Linked DNA regions of Pelodiscus sinensis. The protein of the gene in region 2 interacts with the protein of the main gene of each other region in a biochemical or structural test. Links are inferred from orthologs where the notes say so. Each region holds a gene or a part of one and is shown on either strand. Other genes may lie near its edges.

Evidence for each region. The genes of interacting proteins can lie anywhere in the genome.
Region 1: the proteins of BMP7 (region 2) and BMPR1A form a complex in vitro, tested with the Homo sapiens proteins (2 studies listed by BioGRID). The link is inferred for Pelodiscus sinensis from reciprocal best matches to the Homo sapiens genes BMP7 and BMPR1A.

What each region holds. Positions count from the first base shown.
Region 1 is NC_134718.1:18,369,875-18,377,738, forward strand, and holds the start of BMPR1A (bone morphogenetic protein receptor type-1A), read right to left. Parts: upstream 3,068-7,864; 5' UTR 2,780-3,067; intron 1-2,779. UniProt on the Homo sapiens protein: On ligand binding, forms a receptor complex consisting of two type II and two type I transmembrane serine/threonine kinases.
Region 2 is NC_134728.1:14,405,810-14,413,839, reverse strand, and holds the start of BMP7 (bone morphogenetic protein 7), read right to left. Parts: upstream 3,073-8,030; 5' UTR 2,660-3,072; coding exon 2,227-2,659; intron 1,865-2,226; exon of another isoform or gene 1,732-1,864; intron 1-1,731. UniProt on the Homo sapiens protein: Growth factor of the TGF-beta superfamily that plays important role in various biological processes, including embryogenesis, hematopoiesis, neurogenesis and skeletal morphogenesis.

The DNA of each region.
Region 1 (7,864 bases), on a different chromosome or scaffold from region 2:
CAAACACTCATAAGGAGTAGCACCATTCATCTATGATGGACATTTTACTAGGGCAATTAAAAATATATATATATATACCTCTTCTCATCTGCCATGGACAAGAACAAGATCTTACCACAACTCAGAACAATTCTGACTCAATACCTGCACCCACTACCCCCCAAAAAACCTATGAAAAATAACAATCAGAAAGCCTAAACCCAGCAGAAAATTGTTTAAGAATAGTTGGTTTTGTATCCACACAAACTGGAAGAAAAAGAACCACTAAGATAATATCAGAATTAGGGATGTTAGATATCGTGTAAATGAACAGTTGTGTAACTGCATGAAATGTTTGTGGTTACACGACTATTTGATAATCCCCAGGGGCAGCGCCATCAGCCAGTGTGCACCCAGCCTCACTCCCAGGGACCACCTGCCACCCCTCATTGCTGCCTCTCTAAGAGAAAGCCATTTAAAAAACAGCTCACCATGCAGACTGGCTGCCTGCCACCCTGTGCTGCTGCCTCTGTGTCTGCAGGAGTCCAAGCTCCCTATGGACAGAGGCTGCTGTAGGGCAGGGGGAGGGGGAGAAGAAGGGGAGGCTGCTGCAAAGCAGCCTCTGTCCACTGTGGCCCAGAATGGCCACAGACAGAGGCTAGCCCAGCAGTAGCCAGACTGCAGGGAGCTCAGACCCCCGCAGACAGGAGCTACCACCGAGGACCTTGGATCCTCTGCAGAGGCTGCTTCGTGGGAGCTTCCTCTGTCCCCTCCCTGGCTGCTGCCCCTGACCGAGGCAGCAATGTGGAAAGGAAGGGGAGGGCAGTTGGCACTGCGGAGCCAGTGCTTTTAAGCAGTTTCCCCCTAGCACTGGCTCCTTCTTCCCCTCCTTGCTGCCTCTGATACAGCAAGGGGGGGGGGGGGATACATATAGTCTACAAGATTAATCAATAAGCCAACACTTATCGGTTAATTGTATAATCGACTACCCATAACATCCCTAATCAGCATACATACATTTTTATTCTCTTCATTCCAGAATACTGGAACTAAGGAAAAAACACATGCCCCTTAAAAGTTTTACTCCAGTCAATATTTGTGACTAATATCAGAGGGGATGGAAGTCTGTATCTGCAAAAACAAGGAGTTCTGTAGCATTGTAAAAACAGATTTATTTGGGCATAAGCTTTCATGGGTAAAAAATTCCACCTTGTTAGATGCATGATGTATTTTTGTGGTTCATGTAACTATATCTGCAGAAGATTAGAATTTCATTATATATGGGGCTTTTATTATTGAAAATCATTTGAAATATCTTTGAGATAAAATTTAAAAATACTTGACTGAATTTCATCGGTTAAAATATAATCTAAAAATTACACAAGGTTGGGGAGTTAAGTCTTCTTTCATAAACACTGAAGAGGGTAAGTTTTCCTTTTGAAAGTTATAGGAACCTAGCTGTATTAAATACATTAATTTTCTATGTTGAACGAAGATCAAACAGCACCTACTAAGATATACATCCACAGATGCAGGTACTTGCTCTTATTGAGTATTTACGAAAACTCAATCCCTACTGCAGACTTTAAGTATTTGTAGTATAAAATATGCATCTGATAAACTATGTCAAAAATGTTACCTTGATAAAAAAAGATGAATATCTTTCCACCAAATTTTAATCATAGATTTTGAGGTGCAACATACAGTACTTTGATCATTAACTATATTTATAAATAGCTGGATGTGCAGCAGCACTGTTGTGCAATGCTACAGCCAATGACAGCTCTTATCACATATAAGTTTCTTTCGGTGAAATGTTATCAGCTTAAATATGTATTCTCAAAACAGACTTTTCATCCTCTACAAGAAATTAATATAATAAAATGATCAACTTCTCATGTGCAGACAGGTGAACCTGCTGGATTTAGATTCTGCAATACTGCTTCTCCCTGCAGAATCTACTCTAAATCCTGCACATTTTAACGATTCTGGGGCTCTATTGTTTAGCCAAACCCTTTCTTCTAGACGTCGTAGTCAGTTACACAAATGTGCATCCTAAAACCTAACAAGCCCTTTCTCCGAAATAAAGAAACTATTCAATACTTTACTATTTAACTGTTGAATTACTACGGGCTTAACAGAAACGGTGGAACACAACTTCGCTCAAAGCCACCTCTCGCACCCAGAAATTCAAGGCCCCTCACTAAGCAGCGTCAGTGACTACACGGTTACTCCTCTTGCACCACTATAGCTCGCGTAACACCCAGCCTGAAACTGCAACACAAAATGGGGGGTGGGGAGAAGGCGTCGTCGCAGAGAAACATTTAAAGCTCCAGTCTCAAAAGTGGCCTCTCGCCGGCCGCCTCCTGTGCCCCGGCAGAGACCCACCGACTCGCAGGGACCCTGCGTCACGGCAAGGGCCCACCCACACTGCGCACACTTGCCGCACTGGGGCCTGCCCGCCGAGCGGCGCCAGCCCCCCGCGAGCGGGGCAGCCGGGGCGAGGGGGACGTTGCTGTTGGGAGTCACGTCAGGCCGCGCCGCGCTGCCCCGCACAAGGACGGGACGGGACGGGGGGCACCCCGGCTGCGGCGGCGCAAGCAGGGCCCGCCCCGCGGCGCACTCCCGCTGGGACGGGCCCGGCCACAGCTGGCGCCCGGCGCGCGCGGCCCTCACCGCGGAACGTGCCCCCCAGGGCAGCCCGCGGGCACGTTCCCCGACAGCCACGGGCCGCCGCGGCACAACGGGCCCCGCGAACGCGCTGGGCCTCCGTCTCGCCGGACACCCCGGCCGCACTCACCCGCCGCGAGGGTCCGTCATGCTCCCGGCTGCGCTCGCTCCGTGTCACCCTCCGAGCGGCTCCGGCCTCCCCCGGCCGGGCGGGGGGCGCGGCGCAAACTCCGACAGCGGCCCGAGCCCTCGGCCTGCGCGAGCGGGACTCCAATCACGGCAGCCAACGGCCCCAGCCAGCACCGCGGGGGCGGAGCGCGCAACCGCCGCTGCCAGACGGGCTCGCTGGAGCTCGCGCCCTCGGGACACCGCCGCCCTCGCGCGCCGCCAGCCTCCGAGTCGCGGCTCCAGTGCCTCGCTCCGACGGCATCCGAGCGGCGGCGGAGATTGCCGAAGCCTGCCTGCCCGCCCCCTGACACGCGAGCGCTGCGAGAGCGCCCGCGCCCCTCCCCCAAGCTCTGGGAGCCCGCCAGCTCCTACCCCCAGCGCGAGCCGAGCGTTCGGAGATCTACCCCCCCCCCCCCCCCAGTGCTGGGCACCCACCTCTCCCCCAGTGCTGGGCGATCGCCAACTCTCCGCCAAACCCCAGTGCTGGGAGATCACACACACCCCCTCACCAGTGCCCCCTCGAACCCTAGCACCGGGAGATCAACTCCCCCCCCCCCAAACCCCAGCGCTGGGAGATCACCAATCCCCCCTCCCCAGTGCTTAGAGATCACCACCACCCAAACCCCAGTGCTTGGAGATCACCAATCCCCCCTCCCCAATGCTTGGAGATCACCACCACCCAAACCCCAGTGCTTGGAGATCACCACCACCCAAACCCCAGCGCTGGGAGATCACCAATCCCCCCTCCCCAATGCTTGGAGATCACCACCACCCAAACCCCAGTGCTTGGAGATCACCACCACCCAAACCCCAGTGCTGGGAGATCACACACACCCCCTCCCTGGTTCTGGGAGACCACCAACCCTCCCTCGCCAGTGCTGGGAGATCATACACCCCCTTTCCCATTTCTTGGAGATCAACTCCCTGCCCAAACCTGAATGCTAGGAGATCTCCCCCCACTCCACCCCACCCACCCCTAATGCTTGGAGACCACCACCAGTGTTCCGGGAATCTATGCACTTGGGCAGCCACCCAGGAGAGATTCAAACGCTGCCCAGCTGATTAGCAGAGTGCCCATAGCTGGCAATATGGCTACGTTTAGACTGGCATAATTTTCCGCAAATGCTTTTAACGGAAAACTTTTCAGTTAAAAGCATTTGTGGAAAAGAGCATCTAGATTGGCACAGACGCTTTTCCGCAAAAGTGCTTTTGCGGAAAAGCGTCTGTGCCAGTCTAGACTCGCTTTTGCGCAAAAAAGCCCCGATCGCCATTTTAGTCATCGGGGCTTTTTTGTGCTTTTTTTTGTACTGTGCTGTCTACACTGACCCTCTTGCACAAATGATTTGCGCAAGAGGGCTTTTGCCCGAACGGGAGCAGCATAGCATTTCCGCAAGAAGCACTGATTTCTTACAGTAGGAAGTCAGTGTTCTTGCGGAAATTCAAGCGACCAGTGTAGACAGCTGGCAAGTTTTTCCACAAAAGCAGCTGATTTTGCGGAAAAACTTGCCAGTCTAGACACAGCCCATGTGTTTCTACTGGTGGTTCACTTGGGTTTCTCACACTGCCTCTGCCCCCAGTGTTGCCCATTTTCTGGTTTCTGGCCAATAGCAACTTCCTGTTGGCAAGACAGGCAGCAAGTGAAGTGCCCCTCCACCCTCATCCCCTGGGCTCATAGGGTTCACAGCAGCAAACATAGCCCCTGCAGGTGCTCTAAGCACATACAAGAGTGTGGAAGGCAGGGCCCCTGGCTAAGGAACTTGCTGCTGGGCTGCTTGCTTGGGAGTCACTGATGTACGTACGGTTCCCCAGCCAGAACCTGCCTCTGGCACCACAGTTTCTCCATCCCCCAACCCTCTGCCTCCCTCCTACATCCCTACCCCATGTAACCCAAGCTTTCTGCACTCCCCATCCCTCCTCAGGTCACAACCCCTTCCCAGACCTTGCTCCCCAATCTGCTGTCCCTGGTCACAACCCAAATCCTTGCACGCATGCGCACGCACACACACACACCCCCACTCCCTGCACTCCTGCCCCAGGTTACAATCTCCTCCTATACCCTGCACTCCCTCCTCCTACATCCCTCCCCCTGGCCAGATTCATCTCCTGCATCCATACCCCTCCCAGATCCTGCACCCCAATCCCCTATCCCAGGTCCTGACCCAAACTCCTGCACTTCTACCCCAGGTCACACCCAATCCCAAACCCTGCACCCCAGTCTGCTGCCTGAGGTCACAATCCCCTCCTTCACCCAAACTCCCTCCCAGATCCCACACCCCAGTCCCAGAAAAGTGCAGCCCTCGAACACGTACCAAATTCTTGGAGTGGCCCCCCATAAAAAATTATTGCCCACCTCTGCTTTACATAAAGGGACAAGATTCTGGGTGTTTCCACTTCCTCAACCAGCAGCACAAATGGCCCCAGATCCAGACAAGAGGCGAGCCTGGACATACCAAGCCTTCCCTCACAAATACCCTGTGTGGTGCCCCAAACACCTGCCACCACAACCTCCCTCACTCCCAGTTACATGTCATCGGAGTGATGTGTCGGGAGGTGAGAGCAGCACTAGAAAGGCTGGCCAGTGTCTGGCTTCCCTCTGAAGGTGAGGACAATTAGCTTGGAGTTAATGCAGCAGAAAATGGAGTCAATGGAAGATTTCAGAGAGGAGGGGGTGGAGCTCTGAATGTTATATTAGGAATTGTGCTTTAGATGGATTCAAAAGGTCTCGGGAGCAACCATGTATGTTGGCGTAGACAGAAGAGGTGGTTATAGTAGCAAGATGGGAGACTACGGGAACCCAGGCAAGAGTTTTAGCTGTGGGCAAAGGGAAATTTGAATTTTTGAAAGGTTACAAGATAAATAGCAGGATATGATTATAATCTTTGGCTACACCTACTGGCGCATTCTCACACAAAAACTCTTTTGCGGAAGAGTTCTTGTGCAAAAACTCTTCCAGAAGAGAGCGTCTACGCTGGCATGTGCTTTTGCACAAGAGATGTGCTTTTGCGCAAGAGCATCCATGCCAGTGTAGATACTCTCTTGCGCAAGAAAGCTCTGATGGCCATTTTAACCATAGGGCTTTCTTGCGCAAGAAATTCATGTTGCCTGTCTACACTGGCCTCTTCTGGAAGAGCTCTTGTGCAAGAAGGCTTATTCCTGAGCGGGAGCGTCAGAGTTCTGGCTCAAGAAGCCCTGATTTTATACTTTAGAACGTCAGTTTACTTGTGCAAGAACACGCGGCCAGTGTAGACAGGCAGCAAGTTTTTACGCAAGAGTGGCCGCTTTTGCGCGAGATTGCGCTAGTGTAGACACAGCCCTCATGTACAGGATGAAGAGAACAACTTTTATTGCTGCCTAGATAATTCTCCAAATAACTAAGCCAACTGAGATTGTAACTTTCCTCCCTTTCACCTCTTCAGTGAGATGCTTTGCTTACTGATGAACCTGCCAAAGGCCATCCTTTGCATCCCGTTTCTCAGCTTCCTTATTATTAGCAAGGTGCTGTTTGTCTTCGGTCTGTGCTTCCCAGCCCTTGGTAGAGCAGCTCAGAAGGAGCCTTGATGTTGTTGCACATGGTACGTGTAGAGGCACACTGCACCCCTGGATTCCAAGCATCCTATGCCTCACACTCCAGAACTACACCATGTCCACTATGAGCACAGCGTTGTGCACATGCAGAGAAGGGAGAGGATTTGCACCTTAATGCTGCAGAGGAAAGGTGATTAGGAGTATTTAGTTTCGGTTTATGTCAAAAGCTTTATATGCATAGTCTACTGCAGTGGAAAACTAATATTGCCCCGACCTATTCAGTTTCACTTTGCAACTGAACAGAGTGCTTCTTAGGACAGAACATTTGCTGCTGGCAAGATGAATGCCTCCCTAGACAAACTCTTTCCAGCAAGCAACTGATTGGAAAGTGTGGTGAAAACACTTATGGGCGGCAGATGGCCGCACACAAACTCTTTGTGGGAAACACTGGCATGCAGGGGGAGGTGTTCACTGTCTAGCTGTTTCATTTTTTTGGTATTAGAATTTACATATCTTCTGCACTCCAGCTTGAAACTTACTAGCTGTGGATCTGAAATAATAGTGCAGGCTTTGCAATACAGTTCATGTATATTTTAAACCCGGATTGAATCATAGAGGTATAGTGAGTTCTTGTATTATGTTGACGTGGTCTAGAAAGCAAAGAAGAGGGTATCATTTCAAACCTATTGCCTTTGCAGTCTTTTTTTCACAGGAACACAATGAAATGGGCACTTTTAAAAATGTGCAAGGGTGACTAAATAAGCTCATTAGAAACACGAAATTTTGTTTAATTCGGTTTTCAGAAACATCTTTGCTTTTTTTCCCTGTGCCAGAAAAAAAATACAGCATCCAAAATGATAGCAACTTACAGAACAGGCAAAATCACAGCTTCTACACTGGGTAGTGTAGAATGCAGAGAAACCCAGAAATCACTGAAGTAGGCATACTGTTCTTCCACTCTACCTATCTGCTCAGAACAAAACGGACCATAGAGAGGAATCCATACTCATGACCCAAAGCAAAACTGCTAAATCCAATTTTAAGGGAGCACGTTTAACAATACTTCTTTAAAATAATCTTACAAGATAATGTGATACAGTACTGAGCCTTCCATTAATGGGTTAATGATTAAATCCTATATAGGTTCCTAACGACCAAAAGCTGCTAACATTGAACACGTTTGATGCTGCATGTGAAATGTATATCTGGTTTTCATCCAGTTCTTGATGGGCAGATTTATACACCACACAAATTGTATCTTTTAGGGCGGTCATTGGAATAGTCATCCATTAAAAGAGTCTCTCCTGGTCAGGACCCAGGCATGTGTTGTATTGTGAATGAAGTTTGCATTGCTAGTGCCCATATCATACCTGCTCTCTGGATAGATGGCTCAGATACTGCTCACTGAGGCAGGCTCCCAAAGCAGAAACATATGGGCACCCTACACGTGGTCCTTAAGGGATGTGAGAACCTCTGTTGAAATATAGTTGGGCCAACTTCAATGGACAGCTACACTGACGCG
Region 2 (8,030 bases):
ACCCGGGGCGCAATTAACCTGTTTGCTGGGGGTGCTAGAATGGCTCCGTCTGGCCCTGCTGTTTACATATATGCCATTGCTTTGATGTGTTCTGTGATACTCTTATAGGAGCTATCCAAAAAATGTTTTGTCCTTGTTTTTTAATATGTTGACTAATTTCACTAAAATCACACTTTGGAAAATATAATTTACTTTAGGGCCTGCATCTTAATAGGTTTTACATAAAACTCCCATGGATTTCAAAGAGACTTTTCCTTACACAATGAGTATAAGACTGGGGTCCTAGAGCAGTACTTATGAAAGCTTTGTTGGAATTAATTTTTGCTTTTTACAAAGGATATAATTATTCCCCTAGAGAAAAACATTTATCTATCTGGAGTTGATTCTGTTAGTTATTTATTCCTTTCATAAAATCATACTTTTAAAATATAAAAAGAAAAATGGGAATTTGTTTCATTATTTCACCATCTTTTGTTCTCTGTTAGATTTTATTGAGTGTCCCTGCACTTTCAGCCTTAGGCTTTACTTTATACTTAAAACTAAGGTACCAGCAAGCACAGTGTCAACATCTCTTATCTTTAAAGTCAAATATTTGACCACCAACTGTAATTTTGGACATTGAGATGTTTGATTTTTAACATGAATCGTTGATGATTGGCTTTCATATTTAAAAGTGATTAGACGAGCATTCTAATTCTAAATTGAACCCATTATCACTTTCAAAAAAGTGTAGCCCCTCATCAAATGAAACTCATAGAGCACTCATCTGAGGTTCATGGTATTTAATATGGATGTATGACTTATGGACACTAGAAGTCCAGCATACAATACTCCATCTCCAGGTTTCATCAAAATTGCAATGGAATGATAATGTATATAGTCATACCTATTCAATGGTATAACATAGAGCTTATACTGCTATTAGTGATTCTCCTTTAGGTACAGTGCCAGAAGGATTATAGTTCAATTTCTGTTGCCACAATGAAGTTCTAGGTGGCCATGGGGTGAAACATAGTGACAACCAGTAAGCCCTAAATGATTATTATTTTACAGTATTAAATGTAAGGGTGCGGTCTGCACCATTTTATGTGCATTGGGTCTATGCCTCTTGCTCCTTGTCCCAAAGTAACTTTGAGTTGATCTTGTTTTGAAACTACGGTTCCGATTTGGTCTTAAAATTGCAGGCACCCAATCTGTACATTCGGTGGTTTCAGTGCCACACGTGATGAGTGCTAAAACTGGATACAGTGAACTGGGACCTATAATTACATATTTAAAATAGAATGTTGGCCCTGTCAGCATTTTACTCAAATCCAGACAAGTTTAGTCCAAAAGGATATACAATCTACAGCAGACAAATAGAACTCAGATTGGACCATGGCATCCAATTAGGGGCCTAGTGAGCTGCATTCAAAGTGTGGCAACTTTCAGGTCCTTTGCATAAACCCATCCACATGTGCTTGTGAAAGAAAGCAACTAGCTGCCTAAAACTAGAAGAAAGACTATGTAGAGAAAGTAGAAAGCACTGCAGGAGTAAATAAGGATTTGCCACTGAAACCCACAAAAGCAATTAAGAAAACAGACTCTCAGCAGCTTGGCCCTTTCAATTCAGTTAATGCAGTCTTCCCCGCTGCACTGGAATCCATCCATTTTCAGCTACTCTAGCGGCATTAGATGACTCTAAGCTCAGTGCTTTGAACTACAAGGCAGCTCATGATCTTGTGCTGGTAGGTTTCATATCTTCCTTGGAGGTTCCTGAGGCAGGCCAGGCCCACTAATGATTCCTTCACCTCTGAGAACCTCATCTCTGGGACTGGGAAAATAAGGAGTTTATCGGCAGGAGGAGGAAGAATTTTCATGAGAGGTAAGCGCTGATTCAGCACAATAAACTTCTAAAAACCCTAATGATGTGAAATAGAGGCTGAGCTCTGCCCAGCTGAATTTCAAGATTACTGCCATTTACATATGATGTAACAAAAAAGTACTTTTTCTTGGGGCTACTTATTTTCCCTTCCCCACCATTGGAGCCACCTGCCACCAGGGCCACCTGTGGCCACCAGTAGAGACACATGGGCTATCACATTCTTGTCCTTCCTTTGTCCATCAGACGGATCTGCCCATCTCAACCCCCTCCCCAGGCACTAATCCCAACACTCAGGCATTTATCCCCTCCCCCACCAAAAAATCTCATCCCAGACTCCCCCGGGATGGGGGTTAGAGACTCACCCAGATTCACGAAGCTCATCACCATGTCTGCTTCCGTGAGGAAGTTGCTGTCCTGCAGGCTGGCCAGGGGTGGCCCCTGGGTGCTGAAGATGGGCTTGTAAGGGTAGGAGAATCCCTCTCCCTCCTCCCCGGCTGCTCCTGCCGTCTCCTCCTCCACCGACATGGCATTGTAGAGATCCAGCATGAACATGGGGGCAGAGTTCTGCTTGCCGTGCAGATGGGGCCGGGGCCGGTGGGGCAAGCCCAGGATGGAGAGGATCTCCCGCTGAATCTCCCGGCGCTCCTGGCTCCGCAGCCTCCGGTGGATGAAACTCGAGTGCACCTCATTGTCCAAGGTGAAATCGGCCAGGATGCAGCGCAGCCACAGGCAGGGAGCAGCAGCCCACAGGACCAGCAGCCAGGAGGCAGCCTGCCTGAACCACCCCACATGCATCTCTCTCTCCTCTCCTCCTTCACGCAGCTCCCTGTGGAGGGGAGAGAAAGAGCCCCCGTGGGCTGGAGAGCAGGGCTAAATACTTTACCATGAAAGACAGCTGGGGAGGGGAAATGCCTGCCCCACAAAGTTCTGCTCACTGGGTTAGAGGACTCCTCGGGAGATCCAGCGGCAGTGCACTCATGATAAAAGTCTGGCGGGGGGGAGAGGGGGGTCTAGTTTGTAAAATCCATAGGATAGGAGAGAGAAAATCTTGAGTGCTGCTTTTCACCCTCTTCCTTCAGAGTCTGAGCTCGCTCTTTTTCTTTCTCTTCACTCCTCACAAGCCAAGCCTAAGCACTGTTTGAAATGCTGCTTTGCAGACAGCACTGGCAGCAGGAGGTTGTATCTTGTGGGAGGAGCAGGCAGCAAAACTCAACACATTCTCTCTCTCTCTCTCTCTGCCTCTTCCCCCCCCCCCCCCCCCTTCTTTCTCCAAACTGCTTAGAAAAGAAAATCCATGTTCCTGCCTAGAGGAGGAACATCTGATCAGGTTGCTTTTCAGGATGTTATGGAAGCGGCTGGATTGGTAGAAAGAGTGAGCCATTTCCAAGTAGTTGCATTCTATCTGAAGAAGTGGGTCTGCCCCACGAAAACTCATCACTTAATGAATTATTTGGTCAGTCTTTAAAGTGCGACATGACAGCTTTTTTGTTTTATCATGTAAACATGGTTAAGGAAAAAGCACCCAAGAGAGAAGGGGAGGTTTAGGGGAGGGGGCAGTTCTTTGAGAGAAATATATATTCACATACTGTCCAGAGGGGAAAACCAATCAATGAATAGATTTACAATTTCATGATATAAATAGGATAGTCATTGAAACTAGGGTCACTTTTTCCAAGGGCAGCTGTGGAATAGAGGGGAGGGGGCAAATAAGAGGGGGTTAGTAAGGAAGTGTCAGGGAAGACTGGGGTGATAGAAGAAACTTTAAAATACTATCAATAACATTTACCTGGATCTGGCCCCCAAGGCTCAGGGATCCCTCCACATTGGGGAGCCCGTGCTAATGCTCCAGCCCCTCTGCAACCCATCCACAGGCCTGGAGCATACAAAACTTAGTCGCTTGGGTGCCCCCGGCTCTGGTGTTCAAGGGAAATGTGGGAGTGTCTTTTTCCTTCTCCATCAGGGGCTTCTCACTTTGCTTCTCACTTGTGTGTGGCCTCCAACTGATTTTTCTGTGGGTCAGCGGCCCCCAACTCAAGAAAGGTTCCCCGCCCCTTAGTACAATGGGGCCCATGGCTGGGCTTTTTGGAATCTATGATGATATAAAAAATAAGAAGAGTTACTCACCAACTTTAACTACAGCTTCCCAACAGTTCTTTGAAAAGAGAGGAGTGAAAATAATTCACATTAGGTGCTGACTTTCTAATTGAATCTTGGGAAGAAAGGGGGACTGAAGAAAGTGGGTCAGTCACACTAATCTTGACAGTCCCATGTCTTTGATGTTTCCTGATGAGTCTATTATATGCCAAAGTCTCAACACCTGATCTTGCATACCTTCTGCACCCACAAACATTCAGCACTTACATCACTCTGTGAATTTAAAACATTATATAACCAATAACTAGCTATTCATCTCGAAACCTATGGGAAGGAGGTAGACTGAATAAAAGGGGAAACTGAGGCATATAGTCAATTTCCTTATGGCTACCCATTGAGTAAGTGATACAGCCAGAAAACTCCTAACCATGCCCTGTTCTCATTCCTCTTACCCATAATGCTTCTCAAAACTCGTAACTCAGGGTGGAGGTTGGGTGCCCATTGGAGGCAACAAGAATGAGTTCTCAGAATCTTGTATACAAGCACTACTAGCCAGCTGTAAAGCCGGGGGAAGGAGTGGGTAGTTTACATAAAGCTTGTCTCTTGTTTCTGATCTTCAGAGTCCCTTCATTTTGGCTTAACTGTGATTTCAGTTGCCTGAAGTTCTATACACAACACTACTTTTTGTGTGTGTTACGCCTTTTATAGAAATCTTGGGCTTGATCCTGAGAAGTGCTGGTACCCGCATTACCTCTGAGAATCAGGCCCTTTCTGTGTGTGAAAATGCTTGTCAAGGGTATAACTAAGAGAAATTTGGCAGGTTTTTGTTTTGTTTTGTTTTACTTTGTTGCCTTTGTACATTTACAGCACCACGTCACTTCCACTGTTCCTCTTATATGGCCAGTTGGTTCCCATGTTATTTGTTTGTGGGTTTTTCACTCAGCACAGGAGAAAGGAAAACATCTTAAAAATGATAGTCAAACATCAGAATTGGCAAAGGGGATTCAAGAATGGGTGTGGTATCTGAAACTACTTGTAGCTCACTTAGTTTTCAAGTTGACAGTGTCCCTTTAATTTTGCCTGTTTGGGGAAGAAAAGTAGTTGTATAAGATTTGAATTCCAGTTTATCAGGAAACTGGTTGCTAAGACTTAGTTTATCATTTTTATGGGAGATGAAATTTTAGACTTGATGAGCTTTTCTGGTTGCCTAAGAGGTTATTTATATCTCTTTGTTCTCTATTTAAGTTTTCCTATAATTTTAAGTTGGTTTAAGTTGCCTATTTTGACTGTGAGCAAGTGCATCAGTTTAATATTGGCTATGTCCTTTCTTGAGAGGCAGGGAATATGCAGCACTTGTTTGGGAACAAACCAGATATTGTAAAGATTTCATTCATTAAATTATATAATTGTATTGCTTTCTTCTATGGTCTTATTCTTCATTTCCTGCCTAAATTGAAAAGGAAGATGCATGGTGTGACAGACATTGAGAATGAAGTAGAGAGATGACATTGTGAACAAGCAATTGGGTTTTTATGAAAGGGGGTTATGATAAGAATCAATGAGCCAAACTCTTTCTTTGAAGCAGCTGTGCAGGTAATTCCTCCACACTTTTTCCCTCCCTCATAAAATGTCTGGTTTGTGGTTGTAAGCTAGTAAGTGCAATAGGAAATAGATGCATGCCAGATTTATATGCATATGCCACTGCTTCTCTACCTATAACAAATGATACTAAGGGGATTCTTTATGAGTGTGGGTTAAGAAAGGGAAGCTATTAGAGAATTCTTCTCACATCACAAGTTTATCCCCCATTGATGTCAGTGGAGTTATGGGTTTTAAACAAGAGCAGAATCTCTCCCAGTATGTGCAGAAAAAAGGATAATTCTATAAGGACTGAAATGGGCTCAAGCTTTATTATTAGGATCCAGTTTTGGGTTTGAAATACTCACCAATCTATATAGGTTATATAGTCTGTACTATCATTGGTATAAAAACAAGTGGTCCTGTGGCACCTTAAAGACTAACAAAAATATATAGAACCATGAGCTTTCATGGGTAACACCTACTTCATCAGATAAGTTGCAGTGGGTTTTTACCCATGAAAGCTCATGATTCTATTTTTGTTAATCTCTCATGCCCCAAGACTTGTTTTTAAAGTTACAGACTTACATGGCTACCCCTCTGAGAATTTTATCATTAGGATAGATTTCATCCTCCTCCCTCTCCCTCTCCCCCTCCCATATGTATTGCATGCTATTTAAACTCATTTCATCTGTTCCCTGCAAGTTCAGCTCCTAAGCACTGCAGACATATTGCTAGAAATATAGGCAGCCCATGTCATCATCCTCTTTCTCCTCCTCCTTCCCAGATCAATTAAGAAACCAGTTTTTCCTCTTACTGTTCTCCTCTTCTCTAGACTCTCTTTCTCCTACTCCTTGTTAGTGAGGGAGAGCTAAATGCTTGTGATGAAGCAATGCCTGCATGTTGACAGTTGTTGTTTTAGATAATTTCTTTAGATAACAAAATTCCAACCAATTGCCTCTTTCTTGAGGTTTACATGTAGGCTAAAATACTAGATTAGCTACTTTTTGGTGTCTTAATGAATTGAACCCTTTTATCTGTTTTGTGTATTACCTACTGATCTTTTTGTTGGTGCAGGCAACTGCACATTCCTGATTAGTGGAAGAGACAACTTTAAAAATAAAAGGGCCTTTTTAATGAACCCTCCTTCCCCCCCCCCCAATATAGGCACACAAATACATGTGCAATTGCATGTATTATTGCCGAGATCATAAATATAAATTAAGCAGAGATCTGCCAATGGCTAATTCTGGTTATTTCCATGCAAATTTCTCCTCAGTAACTACAAACAGATTAGGAAAGTAGTTTCACGCCTAACTTGTTTTAAAATCAGGCCCAAAATATATTATTTTCCTTTCTCCTTTTTTTTCTACATCAAGTTCAACCTTTTCATTCTTACAGCTCAGTGCCCTCTTCCACTATTTCTATTTCTTACCCATTTTGAGTTTTGCACTTTTCGATTGCCATTTCTAATGCCTGGAACAAAATCCTCTTTCTGAACACTGCTGAGCATCTTTTACTTCTTCCTCCAAATGCTTCTACTAAAATAAATGTCTTTTAGGAATCTTGTCAATGCTGATTGTATCATCAGGGTCCTTTGGATTGTTTCCATTTCCTGCCGCCCCCATCCCCTGTACCTGTGACTCAAATTCTAACAATAAGAAAAACAGTATTATTTTATAAGATTACATATACAGCTTGCATATTGCATTACACCACATTGGATTATACTTATCAAAGTTTCTATTCATTCCTCTTAACACCATTATCACAAATGTATTCCTTAACATGAAAGTAATCACATTATGGATAAGCTACATGTTAGCACTGTTCCAAGAATTTGAACTAATCTGGGTCTGGACTGTGCTAATCACATTATATTAATTAAACCATAGCTCTGGTTGCCCTGGTTTACTGATCAGAGAAGACACAGTGATGGAAGCTGTGCACACAGATTTGAAGGGAACTGTTACTCCTGTGGGGAAGCCTTGACTAAATAGTTTTGGAACAGTAGGGACCTTTGAATTCTAAAATTTAAATGGTATCATGGGAATGAATCCTGAGAAATGCTGAGTGCTTGAATAAGACAACTAAATTTTAATTGTAAATGTATAAGAATATAAGAATGGCCATACTGAGTCAGATCAAAGGTCCATCTAGCCCAGTATCCTGTCTGTTGACAGTGGTCAATGTCAGATGCCCCAGAGGAAGTGAACAAACAGGTAATCATCACGTGATCCCTCTCCTGTCATCCATTTCCAGACAAACAGAGGCTAAGGATGCTGTTCCTACCCATCCCAGCTAATAATCATTAATGGACCTAACCTCCATGAATGTATCTAGCTCTTTTTTGTCCTAGTCTTCACAACGTCCTGTGGCAAGGAGTTCTGCAGATTGACATATAAAATTGGTCTAGATCACCACAGATTTCACTAGAGTCACTGTTGATTGACACCAGACACTAGATCAATGGTGGACAACCTGCAGCCTGTCA